Elephas maximus indicus: one gene and its partner. The protein of the gene in region 2 binds, or shares a complex with, the protein of the main gene of each other region. Links are inferred from orthologs where the notes say so. Each region holds a gene or a part of one and is shown on either strand. Other genes may lie near its edges.

Region 1 (10,379 bases), on a different chromosome or scaffold from region 2:
GAATGGCAAGAATTGAAGCTAGACATGGAGTCAGAGATCAGAAAAATAAATTGTGCTATATGAGCTTGGACTTTAGCCTGAGAAGTCATTGAAAATTTTCAAGCAGAACGGTATGATTACATGTGGCTTTTTTTTTTCTAATTTAACTTTTTACCCCAAATAGTTTTAAACATACACAAAAGTAAACTGAATAATATAATGAGCCCCCACGTACCATCAGCCAGCTCCAAAATCCATCAACGCATGACCAGTCCTGACCCATCCACACTCCTATCCATTTTCTCCACCCCTTCATTATTTTGAGGCAAATACAATATTCCCAGTCATCCTATCGTTCCCATAAATGTAATTAAAATATATATATAAATTCCTTAATATCATCAAATAGCCAGTTTTCAAATTTTCAATTGTCTTAAAAATGCCATATTTGTGTTTTTTGTTTGTTTTTGTCTTTTAGACAGATCATCCTGGCTACAATATGAAAGGAGAGTATCTTAGTCACCTAGTACTGCCATAACAGAAATACCACAAGGGGATGGCTTTAACAAAGAGAAATTTATTTCCTCACAGTATAGTAGGCTAACAGTCCAAATTCAAGGTATCAGCTCCAGGGAAAGGCTTTCTCTTTCTTTCTCTGTGGGCTCTGGAAGAAGGTCCTTGTCTTCAATCTTCCCATGGTCGAGGAGCTTCTCCGGTGCAGGGATCCCAGATCCAATGGATGTGCTCTGCTCCTGGTGCTGCTTTCTTGGTGGTATGAGGTCCCCAACTCTCTGCTTGCTTCCCTTTCCTTTCATCTCTTGAGAGATAAACGGTGGTGCAGGCCACACCCCAGGGAAACTCCCTTTACCTTGGATCAGGAAGGTGACCTGAGTAAGGGTGGTGTTACAAATCTCACCCTAATCCTCTCAACATAAAATTATAATCACAAAATGGAGGACAACCACATAATACTGGGAATCATGGCCTAACCAAGTTGACAGAGAGGAAGAGTACTCTGGAGATAAGGGGATCAGTTAGGAGGTTACTGTGTCATCCAGGAGAGAAGTGATGAGGATATGAACCTGAGCTCTGTCAGTAGAGGTGGGAGGCTGGAGACAGATAAGGCCAACAGGACCAGAAAGTAATAAAAAGTCACACAACAGAGCAGATTGTTTCCACTATACATTCATGAGTCAGAAAATTAACATGATCTGATTTATATCACTAGGCAGTAGAGAATCAGGGGAAGAAGGAGAAAAAAAGGACAAAGTCCCCACCTACCCTCAAGGAACTAACATTTCAGGGAGAGCACAAATAATGAACACATCCATTTGTTCATTCATTCATTCAACAAACACTTACGAATGCCTACTATATGCCAGGCACTGTTCCAGGTACTGGAAATATATACCAGAGAACAGTATAAAATCCCTGCCCACATGGTGCTTTAAATCTGAGAGCAATCAGTTAACTCAACTCTTCATTCTGTTTGATTTTTTCAGTGGAAAGTGATAAGCAGTAGGAGAAAAATCAAACAGGATAAGGGGTTGAGCTGACTGAGTGCTATTTTAGATCAGGTTGTCAGGGAAGGCCTATCTGAAGAGGTAGCATTTGAACAAAGTCCTGAATGAAAAAAGAACAAGCAAGCAATGGAAAGATATGAATGAAGAATGCTGAACTCTGAGAGAATAGTAAATGCAAAGACCCTGAAGTGGGACTATTTCTGACCTGTTCAAGAAACAGTAAGGTCAGGGTCACTGAACTCAAGAGTAGTTAAAAGATGAGGTAGTAGAAAGGCAGGAACCAGTTCATGTGACACAGGGCTTTGTAGGCTAGGATTAGATTTTATTCTTAGTGTGATAGGAAGTCACTGAAAGGCCCTGGACAGGAAGTGACATAAGCTGATTCAGAGTGTCAAAAGATAACTCCAGGTACTTTGCGAGGAAAGCCTGGTTGGGAAGAGAGGGGTGGAGAAAGGAAGCAGGGAGTCCAGTTAGGCTACTGCAGGAGTCCAATGGAGACAGAGATAATGGTAGCAATGGCCAAGGTTAAAGGTTTGAAATTAATGACTTGCTGAAATTCACCATCAAATGGGCCTACTGCCTTGCCCAGCAATCCTACTATGATTCCCTGATCAACTCTCCACAAAGATTATCTTAAGTTTTTTCCACTTGCTAAGACTTCTGAACTCCTCTTCTCTCAACAGATGACCTTACGTCCTACTTCACAAAGAATACAGAAGCCACCAAAGGAAATACTCTCATTTTCTAGAAATCAACCACACAAACCTATGCATAGCTGCATCCATCCTCTTTCTCTCAGCTGTAGAGGTGCTGTCAGTCCCTTCTGCAGTCTAAGGCCTTTCCCTCCACCTATGCTTTGGCACCCTTCTCACTCATACACTTTTCTTGTGCAATCTCACTCGCTCATATTTTAATTTCTGCCTACTGTACACATTCAGTTTAGAATTCTCTAAGCTCAGGACCCATATACCCATTGTCTACTTGACAGCAACTAGGTGCCTCAAATGTACCTGAAACTCAACATGTTTAAAACTGAACTCATCATCACCTCCCACCTCCAGGGCCCTGTCTCAGCAAATAGTACATGCTTCATCCAGTTATGCAGCCAGAAACCTGCCACTTCCCTCTCCCCGCCTCCTTCATCCAACCCAGCACCAAGTCCTGTCAATTTTACCTCTTAAATTTGTCTTCAATAATCGTCTCTTTCTCCCCCTGTCTTCACCCCTTCCCCCCTTCTTCAAGCTCCAACCAGTTCTCCCATGGAGTATCACGACAGCCTAACTGGTCTATCCTAATCCACTTAAAAATGTGCAATTTAAAAAATGGAAGTTTGACCATGACTCACTGATGCTTAAAACTTGATTGGCTTTCTTGAGTTTTTGGATAAGGACACAACTCAGTATGGCTAGGCTCTGCTTTCTCTTGCTCCAGCTTCATCTCACACCACGCTTCACTCAGGTCTGTTAGCTCGAACTTCTTAAACAAACAAACAAACCCATTGCCACTGAGTCAATTCCAACTCGTAGCAATCCTACGAACTCCTTAGATTACAGATATTTTTCCGACTTCATACTCACCATGTGTCCTTCACACTCACAGCCTTTGCACACTTCATTCTCTCCCTCTACTTAGAGGGCTTCCCTCCCTTTTTTGCACAAAGGCATCAGATCTCACATCAAGCTTCAATTCATCAGAAAACCCTTTCTTGACCTACATAACTCAAGACCTCATTACAGATACTCAAAGTATCATTTACCTCTACCACTTCACAGCTATAATTCTACATTTGATGATGTTTGTGATGCCAGCCCCTTTCCCCAGTTAGTCTGGTAAGCCCATGAGACAGAAAACTGTCTACCATTGTATTCCCAGGGCCTATCACACTGCCTGGCACATAGTAGGTGCTCAGCAAACATTTGTTGAGTAAGTGAATAAAGCACTTTAGTCCATTATATCAAAAAGCTTGGCTGGCAGTGGAGACAAACAGGAGACAGGTCAGTAGTTGAAGATTTAGAGTTGAGGGAGAATTTATTTGTGTGTTTTAAGATGCAAGACACTTGGACAAGGTTATGTGCTACCCTTGAAGAACTCTCAGTCTAGTTGGGGGTACCAGAGGATCGGTAATCGGAGGTGAATGGACTACAATTTCCCCCCATTAGGATATCAGTTAAAACAGACCTTTAAAGAGGGTATGGAAATCCTGAGAGGGGTAGCGTGGAGGGTGGGAAAGCGGCAGAAGCAGGCCGAGAGGGGCCGTGTCCCAGTCACCACCATCTTCCCGCGTCCCCTCACAGTCTCTCCGCTCCCCCCACCCCAACCGCAGGGCCCCCCTCTCGCTCCTTCCCGCTCCCACCGCCCCCTCTGAGCCCACAGGAGCCTTCTCCCTTCGGGCCGGTCCCGGGCTTCTCTTACCCGCCCGGCAGGGTCAGGGCCGCGTCTCCTCTCAGGTCTCCACGGCTTCGAGCCCGGAACTCGGAGACAAGGGCCGGCGCCGATTGGCGACGCCCCGTCACGTGACCGCAACGCTCCGCCGGCGCCAATTTCAAACAGGGGAACAAACTGAAAGCTCCGGTGCCGGACCCCACCCCCGGCCCCTGGCCCGGGACCCCCTCCCCTCCCGGGATCCCCCGGGATTCCCCACCCCTCCCGCACCGTCGGGGACCTGGCCGGCCTGGCGCGAGTCCCTATCCGGGACCCTGGCTCGGCCCCCAGATTGGAGGAGCCCGGAGTCCGCCCTAGGAGCCTCACCCCAGCAGCGGCGGAGGCTGCAGTCGGGAGGTGAGCTGGGCAGAGGAATGGAGGCTGAGGCCGGGCCTGGGCAGAGGCAGGGAGCAAGGTCTCTGGCACCGCTTCCGTAAGTCCTCCGGGCGAGGAAGTCAGGGAGTCTAGCAATAGGGTGCGGGACAGGAGTGGAGGTTTGGGACCACACGGGGAAGGAGGTCTGAGTAAGGGTGCAAATTTTTTCTGCATCCAACCTCTGGTCTCGGCCTTCTCACTTATTTCTCTAAGCACCACTTGGCTTTTACTGGAAGTGTGACCTCTGTACCCTGCATCAGGAGGGCTGAGGTGGCCTACCAAGTGTGAATCGTGGCTGAACTGAAGACTGAGCTTATTCTCCAGTAAGTGAAAGATCAACCCACACACACTCCCCTGCTCTCAGGCGCTCTCACCACTAGGCAACACTGCCTCCACCCTACTCTTACAGGGCCCTTCTCCTGGTTGTTGAGAATCTAGCAAGGTTTCCCTGGTCAGGATGGGGTTACTCTGGAAGTCACCGGGCTAGAAAGTGTTGTTGGCAATACTAGGAAGAGGCTTGTCAGGCTAGAAAGTGTTGTTGGCAATACTAGGAAGAGGCTTGTCAGGGAGTAGAAGAGAAAATTAAGACTTAGACCAGGAAGAAGATATTTTGGAGGAAGGGGAAGATAATAGCTACTGGCTGATGGGAGGAAGGAGGGGAGGAGGCCAGGAGAGATATGAGGTGGAAGTAAAACTGAGATTTGAAGGTAAAGGAAACCTAGATATATAGGAAGGGGAAGAGGCAAAGTGGGAAAGGCCTGTGAATTCTAAGCAGATGGCACCAAAAAAGCAGATGGCAAATGTCATACAAATGTGTCAATCATTTTTCGGGAGATAGCAGATGTCCTAAAAGAGACAGCCAATTTCCCTGTCTCTCAAAGTACCTCTAAATAGAATTACACAATTTTGCATAAACTGGCAGAGTATTTCATGTAGCTATTAAAAATTAACAAAGCACAATTTTTCTCCCCAAGAGAAAAACTACCCTCCTCAGCATTACAAAGCTCCCTTAGCATATTGGTGATAGTCCATTCTAGGAATCAGGAGATAAGGTTTATCCTCTTTGTTCTGGAAGAGAAATTAATACAGTAACATGCTTAGAAATCTAAAATAAAGATAAGCACATGCAAGTACTAATACTGTCACTGCGTAAGTATTTTGTAAACTGAAAGAAAAATACTCTTTTTATTAATGCAACCAAAAACCAAACCCATTACCATCGAGTCTTTTCCAACTCATAGCAACCCTATAGAGCAGAGTGGAACTGCCCTGCCCCATAGAGTTTCCAAGGAGCACCTGGTGAATTCAAACTGCTGACCTTTTGGTTAGCATCTGTAGCTCTTAACCACTACGCCACAGGGTTCCCTTATTAATGCAAGGATAATGATAATGTAGCCTGTAAAATGAATGGCACCCGCTAGAGTTGTGCAGTGCACAATCTGCACAACTTCACCATGGCCCTTAAATAGAGCAAGGGTTGCCTGCAAGCTTTTTATCTGAGCCCTTGTGAACTAGGAGATGATTTCTCCAGTGCTACGGCAATAGTGCAATATGCCTCTCTCCCCTGATTCTGTGGGCACTGATCCTATTTTTTACAGAGTAGAATTACATAAAAATATAAAGGCTCTATCCTAGAATGGATTATGGCATTAGAGTTTTGTTGGGACTATATATCACCATATGCCTTCCTATTCCAGCATCTCCCATCCCTGTCCCTCCAGTCATAGCAAGTAATGTGTATTATAATTTCTACATTTTGTGGCTATCTCACTTGTTTCTGTAGCCAAGCATTCTTAAGCTTCCAGCAGGAAGTCTTTGGCTGTCTTGACCCAAATCCAATCCAGTTCCACTTTCCCCCTTTGAATTGCTTCTGTTTGCTTCAGTTTTACCTTTCTTTAGTCAGTGGATTTCATCTTAGTATTGGAGGTAAGCCTCTACAAAGGTCAGGGAGCATTACCTGGGCCCTTAGGCTCATACTTCTGGCCATAAAAATAGGAATGCCTCTCTAAGAGAAGCTCCTTCTCAGCCTAACAAATCTCTGATATCCTGCTCCTCCTTATACTTTCCAGGGTCCATGCTTGTGATTCTCAATGGAGAGTGAAAGCACAGATTCATAATGAAAACCAGCCCCCGTCGGCCACTGATTCTCAAAAGACGGAGGCTGCCCCTTCCTGTTCAAAATGCCCCAGGTGAAACATCAGAGGAGCAACCTAAGCAGTCCCCTGCCCAACAGGAGCCTGGCCAAGCACAGGCCTCCAAGGAGGTGGCAGAGTCTAGCTCTTGCAAGTTTCCAGCTGGAATCAAGATTATTAACCACCCTACCATGCCTAACACCCAAGTGGTGGCCATCCCCAACAATGCCAATATCCAGAGCATCATCACAGCACTGACCGCCAAAGGAAAAGAAAGTGGCAGCAGTGGGCCCAACAAGTTCATCCTCATCAGCTGTGGGGGAGCCCCCACTCACCCTCCAGGACCCCAGCCTGTAACCCAAGCCAGCTGTGATTCAAAGAGGACAGAAGTGATAACCGAAACCCTGGGACCAAAGCCTACAGCTAGGGATGTGAATCTTCCTAGACCTCCTGGAGCCCTTCCGGGGCAGCGATGGGAGAGCTGTGGTATGTGATCTGCAAGGCAAAGGGGTGAGGAGCCCAGCCTTTCTTCTCTGGTGGCAAGGTCTGCAGTCAGTCGTATTGATGCTTATAACAGACAGGTGTGCAGCCTGAACCAAGTTTCCTCACCCAGTAGCTTTGACCATATCCTCTGGGCACCATTGAAAGCATTGTGATTATAATTTAGCATTTCTATTGCCTTCTTTATATTGGAAAAGAACTTATTATTTCTATTTCTCCTTTCCATTGATCCTATAAGGAAGTAGAAAACTAAAGCAGAAGGAAAAAAAGTTACTTTCCTTGTGCAAATACTCAAATAACTCTTCCGTAAGGTTGCCTTGCCTGATCTTTAAGGTGCAACGCAGCTTGATTGAATTGCAACTTGAATTTCTCCTGAAATCCCTAATAAGGTGGAGTAACTTAGGGCCCATTAGATTTAGCATGTGTTCCCTGTCCCTAAGGGTAGAGGTCTTGGAGTAGTGGTCCCTAACCACAAATTTTGATGGGCCTGCCAGGCGTCTGGTCAGGCAGCTAAGTGGAGTCTTGGATTGCTTTCTGTCTAGCTGGCGGTGAGGCAGCAGGCTGCACTCTCGACAACAGCTTGACCAATATCCAGTGGCTTGGAAAGATGAGTTCTGATGGACTGGGCTCCTGCGGCATCAAGCAAGAAATGGAGGAAAAAGAGAATCATCACCTGGAACAGAGTCAAGTTAAGGTGCACCGCTCTAGGGCACTCAGTAGGGGAGTTAGCCATTGTGGGGAATTTCTAAAAGGGAACTAGATCAAGTGGCCTGCTGGAGCAGGATGTCCAAGCTCTAGTATTTATACTCCACTTAGTGCTATTCTGGAAGCCCTGGTGGCGTAGTAGTTAAGAGCTACGGCTGCTAATCAAAGGGTCAGCAGTTGAAATCCACCAGGCGCTCTTTGGAAACTCTGTGGGGCAGTTCTACTCCGTTCTATAGGGTCACTATGAATCAGAATCAACGGAACAGCAATGGCTTGGTTATTTTTTTTGCTTGCTTATTGCTACTCTGTTTTGAGCTACTTTTCTCCCTGGGATCTTTTTCTTCCACCTGTGAGAATTCCTTGAGAGCCAATTCCTCAGGCTGGCTCGCTCTATATTTCCATCAGTACTGAGTATAGTACTCTGCCCTTAGTAGGTATTCAGGAAACGATGACAAACTTAGTTTGGGAAGCAACTTTTATGTTAGAGAGGCACCCCAAAGTATGAAAGGAATACAGCATCTCTAACAAGATAATTGTATTAGAAGATTTAATATTAATAGCAAATAAAGTGAATTAGATGTGTTTTGAACACATCCCAGCAATCAAGATTTATTTGACCCAATCATATGGTCTGGGTTGTTTTTCACAGTTGCCAGTGTCACACATCTAGATTCTGTTGGATATATCCTTTAATCATTCATTCAACAACCTTTGAAAGTGAAAATATACATGAATGTATACATATATAAAACTTAATTGAGCTGTACACTTAAGATTTGTGTACTTTATAATTATATGTCAATTTAGAAAAATGGGAGTAACCAGCACTTAGCCAAAAGTGTACTTTTGGGAATGGTTCTCTCATACAAACATTGAAATGAGATGAATTTATTCACATCACATCAGGAGGAGGAGTTGGACTAAGACCTAGTTCTCTTGACCCCCAAATCTGAAAAACAGGTATGGTTTTACTATAAAGCCAATACTTTGAGAATCACAATATATAACCAAACTCTGCTGAGATGTTTCAACTAGAAGTAATTGGACCTCAGCTTATTAACTGGGCAGTACTTTGAACAAAGGAGTTCTGGTGGCACAGTGATTAAATGCTCAGCCACTAACCCAAAGGTCAGTGGTTCACACCCACCAGCCTCTCTGCAGGAGAAAGATGTGGCAGTCTGCTTCCATAAAGACTACAGCCTTGGAAACCCTATGAGGCAGTTCTACTCTGTCCTATAGCATCACTGTGTGTCAGAAACGACTTGATGGCAATGGGTTTGGTTTTATATGTCTTCAACAAAATGGTGACAGAGAAGTGATTCAAACATTGACTGTGGACTGGACTAGATCATCCCTAGATCGTTCTTAACCCTACAAATTTTTTTCTATGGAATAGTGGTCTCAGATAAGTATGTATCTAGTACAATTCTATGGATAAAAATTTTCTCTAGGGGATGTTTATGGCGGGGGGGGCCTTTCTTGCAAACTCTTCCATGTCATTCCCTTTTTTCCTTCCCTTTGGCTTCTCGTAACCCTCAGGTTGAGAAGGCCCCTGGAGGATCAACATCCTGGCAGGACTCCATGTCTGAGCGGCCACCCTACTCTTACATGGCCATGATACAATTCGCTATCAACAGCACTGAGAGGAAGCGCATGACTTTGAAGGACATCTATACTTGGATCGAGGACCACTTCCCCTACTTTAAGCACATTGCCAAACCAGGCTGGAAGGTAATATGCCCCTTAACAGCCAAAGTTGATGTGACTTTGGCCCTACAGTTTGTCTCTGGTATTGTACAGCAGTTTCTGTTGGTGTTCTGAAGGAGCAGCTCAATGCAAAGGGTACTAGACCTATAAATAGATGTATCTTTTGGATTGTGACTTGATCCTACTGAATCTAGGCAAAATCATCAATAAGAGTTCTGCGGCCACTTCATCTGTCATTATCTAAGGTTATAGAGACTCTTCAGTGTAGCCCCAAGCCCACTTTTATGCTGCATCAAAACAGCCATAAGTATTGGCAACTAGAGTGGCTTAGTAGCTGTATGAGAAAATCTTGATGAAGAAAAACAACAAAACCACTGCCTGTGAGCCTTTTGACTGAAGATTCATCTCCTACAATGTTACATATCATTCTAGTGGGCAGGATTGTTTTCTTCATTTTATTCACAGAAAGACTGAGATGCCTGGGCATCCTTGTAACTCACACAGTTGGTCAATGTCAGAACCACAAGGGTTATGGATTGAATTGTGTCCCACCAAAATATGTGCGGTAAATCCTAGCCCCTACACCAGTGGTTATAATCCCATTTGGGAATAGGTTGTCTTTGTTATGTTAATGAGACAGCATTAGTGTTGGGTGTTTATTGAGTCAATCTCTTTTGAGATATAAAAGATATTAAACAAGCAAGAGAGAAGCAAGCAGAGATGGGGTAAGATAGATGCCAAGACACATGGAGATCGCCAAGGAACCAGGAAGCAGAAGCTGAAGAGACAAGGACGTTCCTCCTGAGCTGACAGACAAAGTCTTCCCCTAGAGCTGGCACTCTGAATTAGAACTTCTAGCCTCTTAAACTGTGAGAAAATAAATGTTTGTTAAAGCCACTCGTAGTATTTCTGTTGTAGTTGCACTAGATAATGAAGACAACAAGTTAGGTCTTCTGATGGGTTCTCGATTCCAAGCCAAGGGCTTTTTCCCCTGATAATAGAACTCAACTTTACTGTTAATCTCAACTTAATTTCT
Region 2 (10,841 bases):
ACAGCAGTCCTCTGAGGTGGGGACTGCTACTATTACCCACAATTTACAGACGAGGAGACTCAGGCTCAGAGAACATACTCAGCGTCTCCAGTTTTCATACAACTTTTAAGTGATGGAGGCAGAATTCTGACCCAGGCAGGCTGGGCCGAGGGCCCCTTGCCATCTTATCAGATAATCCTGGGTTCAAATCTGCTAGCCTCTCTGAGTCCCATTTTCCTCAGTCATTCAACACATATTTATTAAAGCATTACTATGGCCAAGCACAATGGGCTCAAACATAGCAATGATTGTGAGGATGGTGCAGGACTGGGCAGTGTTTCATTCTATTGTACATGGGGTCGCTATGAGTCAGAACTGACTCGATGGCACTGGCACCTAACAACGCCAATAACAACAATGGCCAAGCCTTGTTCTGGTCGTGGGGATAAACGCTGGGGAACAAGAAAGATGTGGGCAGAGCTTGCCAATAGGAAGCCAGCGGCACCCCCATGTGCCACAAAGGCAACACAAGGGGTCAGCGAGTGCCCCCCAGCAAGTACCATTTCCTGTGCGTGCAGTGTCTTGGGAAGGCAGGGAGGTGCTGCCTTAGGGACCAGATCAGGACAAACCAGAGTGATCTCCCAAACCCCAGACTCCTCTACTCTTCTGCTTTTCAGTTACTCCAACTTGGCAAAACCCCAGCTGTGAGTAATCCCACCTCTGCTCTAGTATCTACAGGGAGGGCAGCAGAGGGTGCCCAGGCAGGACAGATGGTACCTGCTGAATTATCCTCACCGCCACCAATGGCTCCTCAGTGCATACGCTCTCCTCGCCAACAAACTCTCCATGCCACACCTCCCTTGGCTGGCTCCCTCCTCCAGGAAGCCATCCCCAATGCCAAGACCAGGTCTGTCTACCTAATGACAAGCTCTCATAGCCCAGGCCTTCGTTGTTCCTGGTCCTTCTCAAAGATGTAATTTTATATTTACCTTGGTGATTCTTTGACTAATGTGTTTCCTCACTAGATTGTACCCCCTGAGCTCAGGAGCCTCAATTCTTTTTTTTCTTTTTTTGCGCCCTCCCCATTTTACCAGAAGGGCCTAGCATGGCACCTGCCACCAGGGGTACGGGTCCTTACGCAGCCAGGCCAGCTCTCTGCACAGCCTTGGCGTCAGCTGTTCCCTGTGCTGGAATGCGCTTGCCCAAGAGCCTGCGGGGCTCACTCCCTGCCTTCCTTTCTTCCTTCCTTCCGGCCTTTGCTCAAATGGGGACTTCTCAGTAAGCATCTGGCTGCAGCCCTCTCTCTCCACACTCCTGTCTCCCTCCCTCCCAGCCATGTTTTGCCCTATACCATTTATCACCTTCTAACATACATTTTCTATCCCTCATGTGCATGTGAAAGCTGGACAGTGAGTAAGGAAGACCGAAGAAGAATTAAAACCTTTGAATTGTGGTGTTGGCAAAGAATGTTGAGTGTACCATGGACTGCCAGAAGACCGAACAAATCTGTCTTGGAAGAAGTACAGCCAGAATGTTCGTTAGAAACAAGGATGGCAAAACTTCATCTCGCATATTTTAGACCTGTTATCAGGAAGATTGGTCCCTGGAGAAGGACGTCATGCTTGGTAAAGCAGAGGGTCAGCGAAGAAAAGGAAGACCCTCAACAAGAAGGGCTGACAGTGGTTGCAACAATGGGCTCAAGCATAACAACAATTGGGAGCGTGGTGCAGGACCAGGTAGTGCTTTGTTTTGTTGTCACTGTGAGTCAGAACCAACTCGAGGGCACCTAACAACAACAACAACAACATACATTTATTTGTGTCTTTGGTTGTCTTTCTTTCTCCACTCAGTAGAAGCCACTTGAGAGCAGGATTTTCTATTCTGTACTCTATTTCCTGTGCTTAGAAAAGTGCACGAAACACGCATGGAATGAATGAATTACTGAGTTCCAACGTCCCCATCGGGAACACTGGTGGCATAGTGGTTAAGGGCTACGGCTGCTAACCAAAAGGTCGGCAGTTCAAATCCACCAGGCATTCCTTGGAAACTCTATGGGGCAGTTTCTACTCTATCCAATAGGGTCTCTATGAGTCAGAATCGACTCGACGGCAGTGGGGTTTGTTGTTGTTAACATCCCCAGCAGTGGTGATTGCTGTGACTTCAAACCTAACTAGTTGGGCGGTGGCTTTAAGAAGTGGTGGTTGAAGGGAAGAAATTTCCCAACAGATAATTACTTTAAAAGCTTGAAATAGTAACTACTGTCACCTTCCTCCATTAGTGTCTACCACGGCTCCCCCCTCCCACTTACCTACTGATAGGTGGCCACCTCTAACGTAGGGGTGGCAAAGAGTATACAAACTTTGGGTTTTAAAGAGTCCTAAGAGAGCATCTCATGCAGCCCTTCATTTTGAGGAAACTGAGGCCCAGAGTAGGGCTGGAGCTCCCACCCACAGGCTTCCCGTCTTCCAGTGCAGACCCGACATCCACTTTGGGTCCCTATACCCGTCCCCTGCCCAGCCCTCCCCTTGCTCTCAAAGGGGCCCTGGTCGCTCCATGTCTCTCATCCCTCTCTGTGCCCTCCTCCCTCTGGACCTGCAATGCTTCATTGCCTCTGGCAAGTGCAAGCCTAGAGAGGCTCCGTAGCCTTCCAGCACGGGAGAGGACTGTTCCACATTCCCCCCTTTTGATCAGGATCCAGCTGTTGAGTCCTTGATCAAAATGTTCAGTAACGGTAGCCAGGCACCATTCACTTCTCCTGGTCTCATGGTAACAGAGGTAGTAGTTGATGGAGACAGTTAAACCTGCAGTCCATTTCCTTTTCCTATTCCTGAATCTCCTTTCTTTTCTGTTGTTTCAGGCAAATAGGGACCGATTGTGGTATTCTGGGTGGCTGCTTACAAGCTTTTAAGACCCTAGGTGCTACTCACCAAATTAGGAGGTGGAACAGAAACTCTGAAAACAATGTTAGGCCAATTGACTGGATGGACCCACAAAGCCACCACCCGAAACTTTTGAACCAAGAGAATTAATGAAGTTTTTCATTGTACCTAAGTAGTATCAACAGGAAGGAACCCTCAGCAAGGTTAAGCACTTGGCTGCTAACCGAAACGTCAGCAGTTTGAACCCACCAGCTGCTCCGTGTGAGAAAGATGTGTAGCCCGCTTCTGTAAAGATTTACACCCTTGGAAACCCTATGGGGCAGTTCCACTCTGTCCTACAGGATTGTTAAGTCAGAACCAAGTCTATGGCAGTGGATAGCATCAACAGGCACAGCTCCCCTCCCCCGTTTTGTTTTGGCTGCTGTTGTAGTTATAAATTATATAAAATGCTTTATTTGCCATTTTGCCCCCCCCCCTTCTTTTCCTGTTGTGCAGCTTAATGGTAATAGCTACATTAGTTTGGTGAGACTAGCCAATGGCAGCTCCTCTCCAGTGCTGTGGACAGATGAGGGGCACAGGGAACCTCAGTGTGTCAGGGTTGGAAGGGTCTCCGAGGGCATCTCACCCCGCATCAAACACATCATAAACCTGATGCTGTGGATTCCGACTCACAGTGACCCTCCACGACAGAGTAGAACTGCCCCATAGGGTTTCCGAGGCTGCAGTCTTTACAGAAGCAGACTGCCACATCCTTCTCCCTGGAGAGGCTGTGGGTCTGAACTGCTGACCTTTTGGTTAGTAGCCCAGTGCTTAACCGTTGTGCCAGCAGCGCTCCGTCATCACCTTGACTAGACGAGGGAACAGCTCCAGAGACGGGGAAGGACTTGCACAAAGTCACACAGCAAATCAGCGCTGAAGCCCAGACAGAGACCCAGCCTCCTGGTGCCTAGCTCCATGTCCTTGAGAGCTTTCCAGTGATTCCTGACTTTGGGGGGAGGGTGAATGAAGACTCATTAAAGAGTCCTACAGAGAAGGTAATCAATGCCACTAGATTGTAAATGGAGAAATTGTTGGTGTGTTCAACAACAAAAATTAATTATTTAAAAAAACAGCCCTAGAGAGCTTGTGTTTCTCTCTCCCTTGGGCCTTGATGCAAAACCCCAAGGCCACAGGGCCCTACAGACCCACAGGGGTCAGGGAAATTAACCTGACCATGGGAATATCCACAGCTGTCCCCTCTTTGGCCTTCCAGACAGGAGCACTGGGATGCTCTCCTACTCCAGGTAATAGGTCTTCAGTGGTAACAGGGTGGAGGTGGAGAAGCCCTGAGGCTGTGCCGATTTACCTTAGGGGTGGGGGGAGGGGGTGGTAAGAAAGAGAATAGCTGGTGCTGGGTTTTGTTTTGTTGCTAGAGAGTGGAGATGGGAAGAGAAGAATTAGGCAGGTCAGGTTGGCCTGCTGCTTTTACCCTAGCACCATGCTAAGGGCAACTCACAGGCAGCGCCATTTTATCTGGATGGCATATTCACTAACACCTATTTCCTGACCATCCACTGAGGCCCTGTGTGAGAGACAGGGCAACAGCAATGAACAAAACCGACAAGGTCCCTGCCCTTGTGGAGCTCATGTACTAGTGAGGAAGACAGACGTTAAATAAGTAAACACATGTACAAGACTTGTGATAACTGCTATGACCAAAACACACGTGCAAAGATCCCGAGGGGAAAAGGATGTGGCCCTTTCAGAGAACCAACAGGGCCTGTGGGGCAAGGCAGGGTGACTGAGAGAAAGGCAGGAGATAGGTGGAGAGATGCTGGGCCGGCTCCTACAGGCTGGGTAAGGATTTGGGATCTTACGCTAAGTATAGTAGTTGGCAACCACTGCAGGATCTAAACAGGGAGTGGCATGATTCCATGGACATTTTAGAAAGGTCACTTTAACTGCTGTATGGAGGGTGGATGGGGGCGGGGGACAGTGTGGAGGCAGAAGACCACTCAGCTGTTAACAGCCATCCAGGGAGAGTGGATGGTGGCCCAAACCAGGACGGTGGCAGCAGGGACAGAACCGGGGCAGGGGAGGGGGGCAAATTTGCCATCTGATTGGGAGCTAGGACTGTCAAGACTTGCTGCAGGATTGGCGCATCTGGGAAGAGGGTGGTGTCCACAGGGACTCCGTTTACTGGCCTGTATGCCCAGGTGGAGGTAGTGTCATTGACACTGATCCCCGGGAAGGAGAAAGGGAATTACAATCTCCTGCCCCGTTGCTCTAGGGAGGGGGTGAGGGCTGGTGAGGCAGGGGAGCTGAGGGCAAGGAGAGCGGGTGCAGAAGTGCAGCGCCAGGAGACAAAAGAGCCGCGTCCCTACAGACAGGGCCAAGGGGGGCAAGCACTGGCTGACCCTAAAGGGAAGCAGAAGACCCTTCGAACGGCCAAACTTCGGTGCTGCCGGGAGCTAGAGGTCAGGGCTCCCACCCTGGCCTGCCTTCCACTCCATACACGTGGGACTGAGGTGCAGGGCAAGGGGAGGACCTCCGGCTGATGAACGCCTCCTTTCGCACAATGCTGGGTTTTAAAAAAATAGTCTCAAAACCACGACTCTACCCTCGTCAACCTTTTCCTGTGTTTCCCAGCAGCGGCCTCATCGTCTGGTGGCGCCCCTTCCCTCTCCCCGGTGCCAATCCCCACGCGCTTCGCTCTTGCTCTTCTACCCCTTTGTCAGGAGAATCTTTTCTCTTCCTGAATCAATGAGGTGCCACCCCTTGAAACCAGAATGAGCAGCCACCGCCCACCCCTGGCTCCTGCAGCGCGTCGCGTTAACATCTTTTGAGAGGTGGTGGTTGCTGCGTGTGTCCGAGTCCTCAGCCCATACTGGGTGCGGACGGTCTGCTTTCCACCCAGTATCCCCAGACACGCCCGAAAGTCTGTACTAAATAAGGGCCCCGGCGGGCTCGTCCCCGGGCTCTGGCCTGCGAGCCCGGGGCTCGCTCCACTGCGCCATGCACCTCCCGCCCTGGAGCAGTGTCCCCGCGCTCGTGCGCCCCGCCAAGTGGCCTAGCACCCAACGGCACGGAGGGGCCGGGAGGGCTACAAGGAGCGAGCACCGCAAGCGCCGCCGCGCTCCGGCCCACGTGATAGGGGCCTGCGCCTGAGAACGGCTGCGTCACGTGACGGAGGGGCCGGGAGCGTTTCTCACGTGACGGCGGCGCGCGCTCGCAGGCCAATGAGGCAGCGGGGGCGGGGCCGGCGGGGCGGCGGCTGGAAGGGCGCCCAGGCTTCCGTGGAGGCGGGGGGGCCCCGAGCCGGGCCGGTTGCGGGGGCTCCGCGGGTGGGTTTGCAGGATCAGCCCGGTGCGGTACTGGGGCAGCATGAAGTGTCTGGTGACAGGCGGCAACGTAAAGGGTGAGTCTGGGCGGCGGGGACACGTAGGACAGGCCAAGACACCTACCTAACCCTTCTCTGCTCTCCTGCAGTGCTTGGCAAGGCGGTCCACTCCCTGTCCCGCATCGGAGACGAGCTCTACCTGGAGCCCCTGGAGGACGGGGTGAGGGGCTGGGGCGTGGGGAGGATCCCGCCTCCCCGGGCACGGTGGCCGCGGGTGGGCTTGTCAGCTCTTTCAGTTTCGGCCCCATTGCTGGAGCTCGTCTTGGGCCCTGTCAACCTCCCAGCCTGGTGTGTGAGCGGAGAGCAGCTGCCCTCCCTGGAGTGGCCGGTGACGGGTTGGGGGCGACTTAGCCTTAGAGATAAGCAGGGAGAAAGGCAGAGTGTGGGGACAGCGCTGAAGGTGGGAGCAGGGTCGAGAAAGGGTCAGGGAAGGCTTCCCAAGGAAGGACCCATTGAGACTGTCCTTGAAGGAGAGGGAAGATCTAACAGGTGATGGTGGAGGTGGTAGGTTCCTGGGTGGTGCAAATGGTTTGCGCTTGAGGAGCCCTGGTGGTGCAATGCGTAAGAGCTGGGCTGCTAACTGAAAGGTTGGAAGTTCCAATCCACCAGCAGCTCCTTGGAAACCCTATATGGGGCAGTTCTGCTCTGTGAGTCAGAATCAACTCGATGGCACATAACAACATCACAACAACAATTAATCTAAAGGTTGGCAGTTCAGACCCACCCAGTGGTACCAAGGAAGAAAGGCCTGGCAATCTCCCTCTGTAAAGGTTACAGCCAAGAAAACACTGTAACATATGGGGTTGCCATGAGTTGGCATTGACTCCACAGCAGTAGGTTTGGTTGGTTTGGCGGCGGGGGTGGTGGTGGTGGAGGACATCAGGGCAGTTCTGTAAGCAGAGGCAGGCCATGGGGCCAGCCTGTCACTGCCCCTGACCTTGTCCCCCGTCCCCCTCACCCTGCTTCACCTGGCCCAGCTCTCCCTCCGGACGGTGAACTCTTCCCGCTCTGCCTATGCCTGCTTCCTCTTCGCCCCGCTCTTCTTCCAGCAGTACCAGGCAGCCACCCAAGCCCAGGAACCCGTGCGCTGTAAGATCCTGATGAAGGTGAGGCCCCCTCTTGGTAGGAACCCCCACCTGCAGGGCCTCCACTCTGGGCACTCAGTAGCTGCTAACGGGGTAGAGAAAGGGGCTCAGTAAAGACCTTCTCGGAGAGTAGTGGGGGCATATGGAACAGCAGCAGACTGATGGGGAATCCAAGTGAGCCTGCAGGGTGGGGCCACTCCAGACAGGGCGAACAGCCAGAACCAAGGCCTGGACGCGTGTGAACATACGCACATTGTGGCGGTCCCTGTCCTGGCTGATGGGCTGGGCTGGGGCTCACAAGCTGGAGGCATAGCGCTGGCTTACGTTTCCCCTTAGTCGTTCCTGTCAGTCTTTCGCTCGCTGGCATTGCTGGAGAAGACAGTGGAGAAGTGCTACATCTCCCTGAATGGCAGGAGCAGCCGCCTAGTGGTCCAGCTGCACTGCAAGTATGGTGAGTGGGCAGTGCCGACTCGGGGGCCCTGGGGTGTGGCATGGGGGGTTGAGAAGCCCCCCTGAGACCCTGTCTGCCCACACAGGGGTGAGGAAGATTCACAACCTGTCCTTCCAGGACTGCGAGTCCCTACAGGCCGTCTTCGACCCAGCTTCATGCCCCCATGTGCTCCGTGCCCCGGCCAAGTGAGCACACCCCCTCCCCCTCACCTCGAGCACAGTCCCCCATCTGGATTCTTTGAGAGGCACCTTCTCCATTTCCGTAAAGGGTTTCTGTGGATCCCAGCCCTGTGTGCTCTCCAGCCCTTGTCTGACTCTTCGAAGGTAGGGGCTGAGCAAAGGGGGTGCATGGGTGTCCCTTCCTCCATTTCCTTACTATTTCTACACCCCTGTGTTTTCCACACCTCAGGCCTGACTTGGCTCTCTGGGAGCCTCAGACCTAGCCTGATGTCTCTTCTAGCAGTCACTTTCTCTAGCCTGAGCAGCTGAAGGGCCATCCCTAACCTTGGTGGCTCAGGGTTTCAGCTCCCTGCAGGGCCCAGTCGTACTTTGGGGGTCTTCCCCCTTTCAGCGTGGGCACTGACTATCGCCTGCCCTGGCGCTGGCTCGTGGAGTCCCCAGGCCCAGGCAGAAGGCCAGACGGGGAGGTTGTGGTCCAGGAGAGTGGAGTATTCTGGGCACTGCAGGGTGAGGGAGGTGGGGATGCCAGGGAAGGCAGGGGTCCCTGACAAGTACCACCTCAGAGAGGAGTGGCCCCTGGGCACTGCTTGCATCCAAGTGGCCGAGTTCCCATTCATTCTCTTGGTAGCCTTAGGACATGGTTGTGTGAGGTTCCCTTTGGGTCTGAGAGTCTGTTTCCCTGAGTTCTGTCGAGAGAGCTCCGCTCAGGGCTCCTTTGGATAGAGAAAGGGGGAAGGCCGTCCCTTTTGGTCTGAGTTTTGTGACAATTTAAATCACTCCTTTTAATGAACATTTGTCTTATGGACAGTCTGAAACACGTAAAAAAGTAGAACATAGTATGCTGACTCCTTGTACCATCACCCCCAGCTTGTGTCCCGTTGTTCTGAGGCGGACTCCAGGTGTTATTTCATTTATCACACGTATTGGTCAAAGACAAGAAGTTAGGGAGGGGCTCTTTCTGAAGGCCGGTTGGTTGGGACGGTATGGGTGTGGCTTCCCACCTCCGGACCCCATTCTTCCTTCCCCGCGGGAGAGCCCTCTCCCATCCTGTATGCTGGTGCTGCCCGCCCTGTGTGGGCCTTTGTCTGTCCCGCCGCCCCCCACCCCCCCGACCCCGTCCTGCTTTCAGTGGACTTGGGCTGTGGCAGGGAAGGACCAGGCCTGCTCATCCTGCCCTCTCCTTCCCAGGGTGCTGGCCTGGCCCAGGTGTAGTTCTCCTTAGATGCCAGTGTGTGTGTGTAGCCCCCCGTCCTCTAGTCCTCTGAGAGCAAGGCTGCCGGGCAGGGCTGGCCTGGCCTGGGGATAACACTGCCTGTCCTCACAGGGTCCTGGGGGAGGCTGTTCTGCCATTCCCCCCTGCGCTGGCTGAAGTGACGCTGGGTGTTAGCCATGGCCGCAGGGTCATCCTGCGAAGCTACCAGGAGGAGGAGGCAGGTAAGGGAGCCAGTCTGGGAGGGACACATCCTGGGCTGGGAGCAGAGCTGGGCAGGCAAGGGCAGGGGCCGGGACCCAGGTTCCTCCTGTTCCTTCCCACCCCAGACAGCACTGTCAGAGCCATGGTGACAGAAATGAGCATCGCGGAGGAAGACTTCCAGCAGCTGCAGGCCCAGGAAGGGGTGGCCGTCACTTTCTGCCTCAAGGAATTCCGGGTAGGTGTCCCCGATGCACGCGTTGTCCCGACCTCCCTGCCCAGCCCAGCACAGGGCCTGACCCTCCTTCTTCCCTCCCAGGGGCTTCTGAGCTTTGCTGAGTCAGCAAATCTGTCTCTCAGTATTCACTTTGACACTCCGGGCAGGTAGGTCCTACGTCTGGACAGGGGACAGGGGACAGGGGATGTCGGGCCTACAGGTTCTGACTGTCCTTGGGCTGGTCCCCTGCCCAGGCCAGCCATCTTCACTATCGAGGACTCCCTGCTTGACGGCCACTTTGTCTTGGCCACGCTGTCAGAGCCAGACCTGCAGTCCCAGGACCTGAGCTCCCAGCAGGCCCGCCAGCCAGAGCCTCCACTCCAGGCTCACAGGTGAGGGCTCCGCTACGCTTGCCTTCTTCTCCCCTGCGCTGTGCACCCTGGCCTGGCCGAGCCTTGTTGCCAGCCCTGCTCCTCCCCCACACATACTTCCTGTCAGGCCCCACGGAGCTCCTAGCTTCCAGCCCTGCAGACTCATCATGGTCAGCTGTGCTCAGAGACCCCTCCCACCCAGGGACCGTCCCCAAGGCCCAGCTGCTTCCTTCTTTGGCTGAGGCCTCCCGGTGAACCTCCTCCCAGGCCGAGGAGGGAGCTGGCTGCTGGGAGGCAGGGCGCCGCCCGGGGTGGAGAGGCAGGTGGCTGGACTGGCAGGTGGGCTGGGAGGCTGGGCCCAGTGCAGCAAAAGCAGAGGAAGTCTGGCCTGGCCGCCCGCCCAGCATGTCCACTGGGCCCCAGCGAGCTCCAGCTCTGTCCCCTGGGAAAGGGGTAGGGGCGGGCTCTGGCCCCAGGTGGCCTAGCTAGCAAGGCTTGCTGTTCCCCTCCCCCAGCTAGGCCAGACCAGCCCCAGACCACCTCTCCCCAGACCCCTACCTAAACTCTGATCAAACAGATTCCAGGCCTACTCCCTCCAGGAAGCCACCACTTAACCCCCGTTTCCTCTCCCCTCCAAATGAATCAGGAAGTCATAAAACCAAAAGAGGTCCCAGCCCACAGCCCCTTCGGAGCCTCAAGGTGGGGCCCTGCCTCTGTAGTTCTTCTCTGCTTCTTCGTAATGCCCCATCTCTGCCTATAGCACGCCCAACCTGGACGACTTCACCAACGATGACATTGACTCTTACATGATCGCCATGGAAACCACCCTGGCCAGTGAGGGCTCTCGGGCACTGCCCTCCTTCTCCATCTCACCAGGCCCCCAGCCCCCC

The links.
Region 1: the proteins of RAD9A (region 2) and RHNO1 are in contact, whole or in part, in a crystal structure (PDB 8WU8), measured with the Homo sapiens proteins. The link is inferred for Elephas maximus indicus from reciprocal best matches to the Homo sapiens genes RAD9A and RHNO1. Residues at the interface, in NP_004575.1 of Homo sapiens: Val41, Ser44, Arg45, Ser46, Ala47, Tyr48, Glu130, Leu132, Gln133, Ala134, Val135, Glu165, Tyr181, Glu183, Thr216, Phe217, Cys218, Gly244, Pro246, Val261, Leu262, Ala263, Thr264, Leu265, Ser266; in NP_001239428.1 of Homo sapiens: Thr88, Lys90, Phe91, Pro92, His93, Leu94, Thr95, Phe96, Glu97, Ser98.

The regions. Positions count from the first base shown.
Region 1 is NC_064822.1:59,066,742-59,077,120, reverse strand, and holds the start of RHNO1 (RAD9, HUS1, RAD1-interacting nuclear orphan protein 1), read right to left. Parts: upstream 4,010-10,379; 5' UTR 3,915-4,009; intron 848-3,914; exon of another isoform or gene 569-847; intron 1-568. Other genes in the region: FOXM1 (forkhead box protein M1), read left to right, coding at 6,415-6,916, 7,474-7,625, 9,176-9,367. UniProt on the Homo sapiens protein: Involved in microhomology-mediated end-joining (MMEJ) DNA repair by promoting recruitment of polymerase theta (POLQ) to DNA damage sites during mitosis.
Region 2 is NC_064825.1:130,420,929-130,431,769, forward strand, and holds the start of RAD9A (cell cycle checkpoint control protein RAD9A), read left to right. Parts: upstream 1-6,119; 5' UTR 6,120-6,221; coding exon 6,222-6,255; intron 6,256-6,326; coding exon 6,327-6,397; intron 6,398-6,403; exon of another isoform or gene 6,404-6,525; intron 6,526-7,214; coding exon 7,215-7,343; intron 7,344-7,658; coding exon 7,659-7,773; intron 7,774-7,858; coding exon 7,859-7,958; intron 7,959-9,276; coding exon 9,277-9,386; intron 9,387-9,491; coding exon 9,492-9,747; intron 9,748-9,834; coding exon 9,835-9,972; intron 9,973-10,711; coding exon 10,712-10,841. UniProt on the Homo sapiens protein: Component of the 9-1-1 cell-cycle checkpoint response complex that plays a major role in DNA repair. The 9-1-1 complex is recruited to DNA lesion upon damage by the RAD17-replication factor C (RFC) clamp loader complex.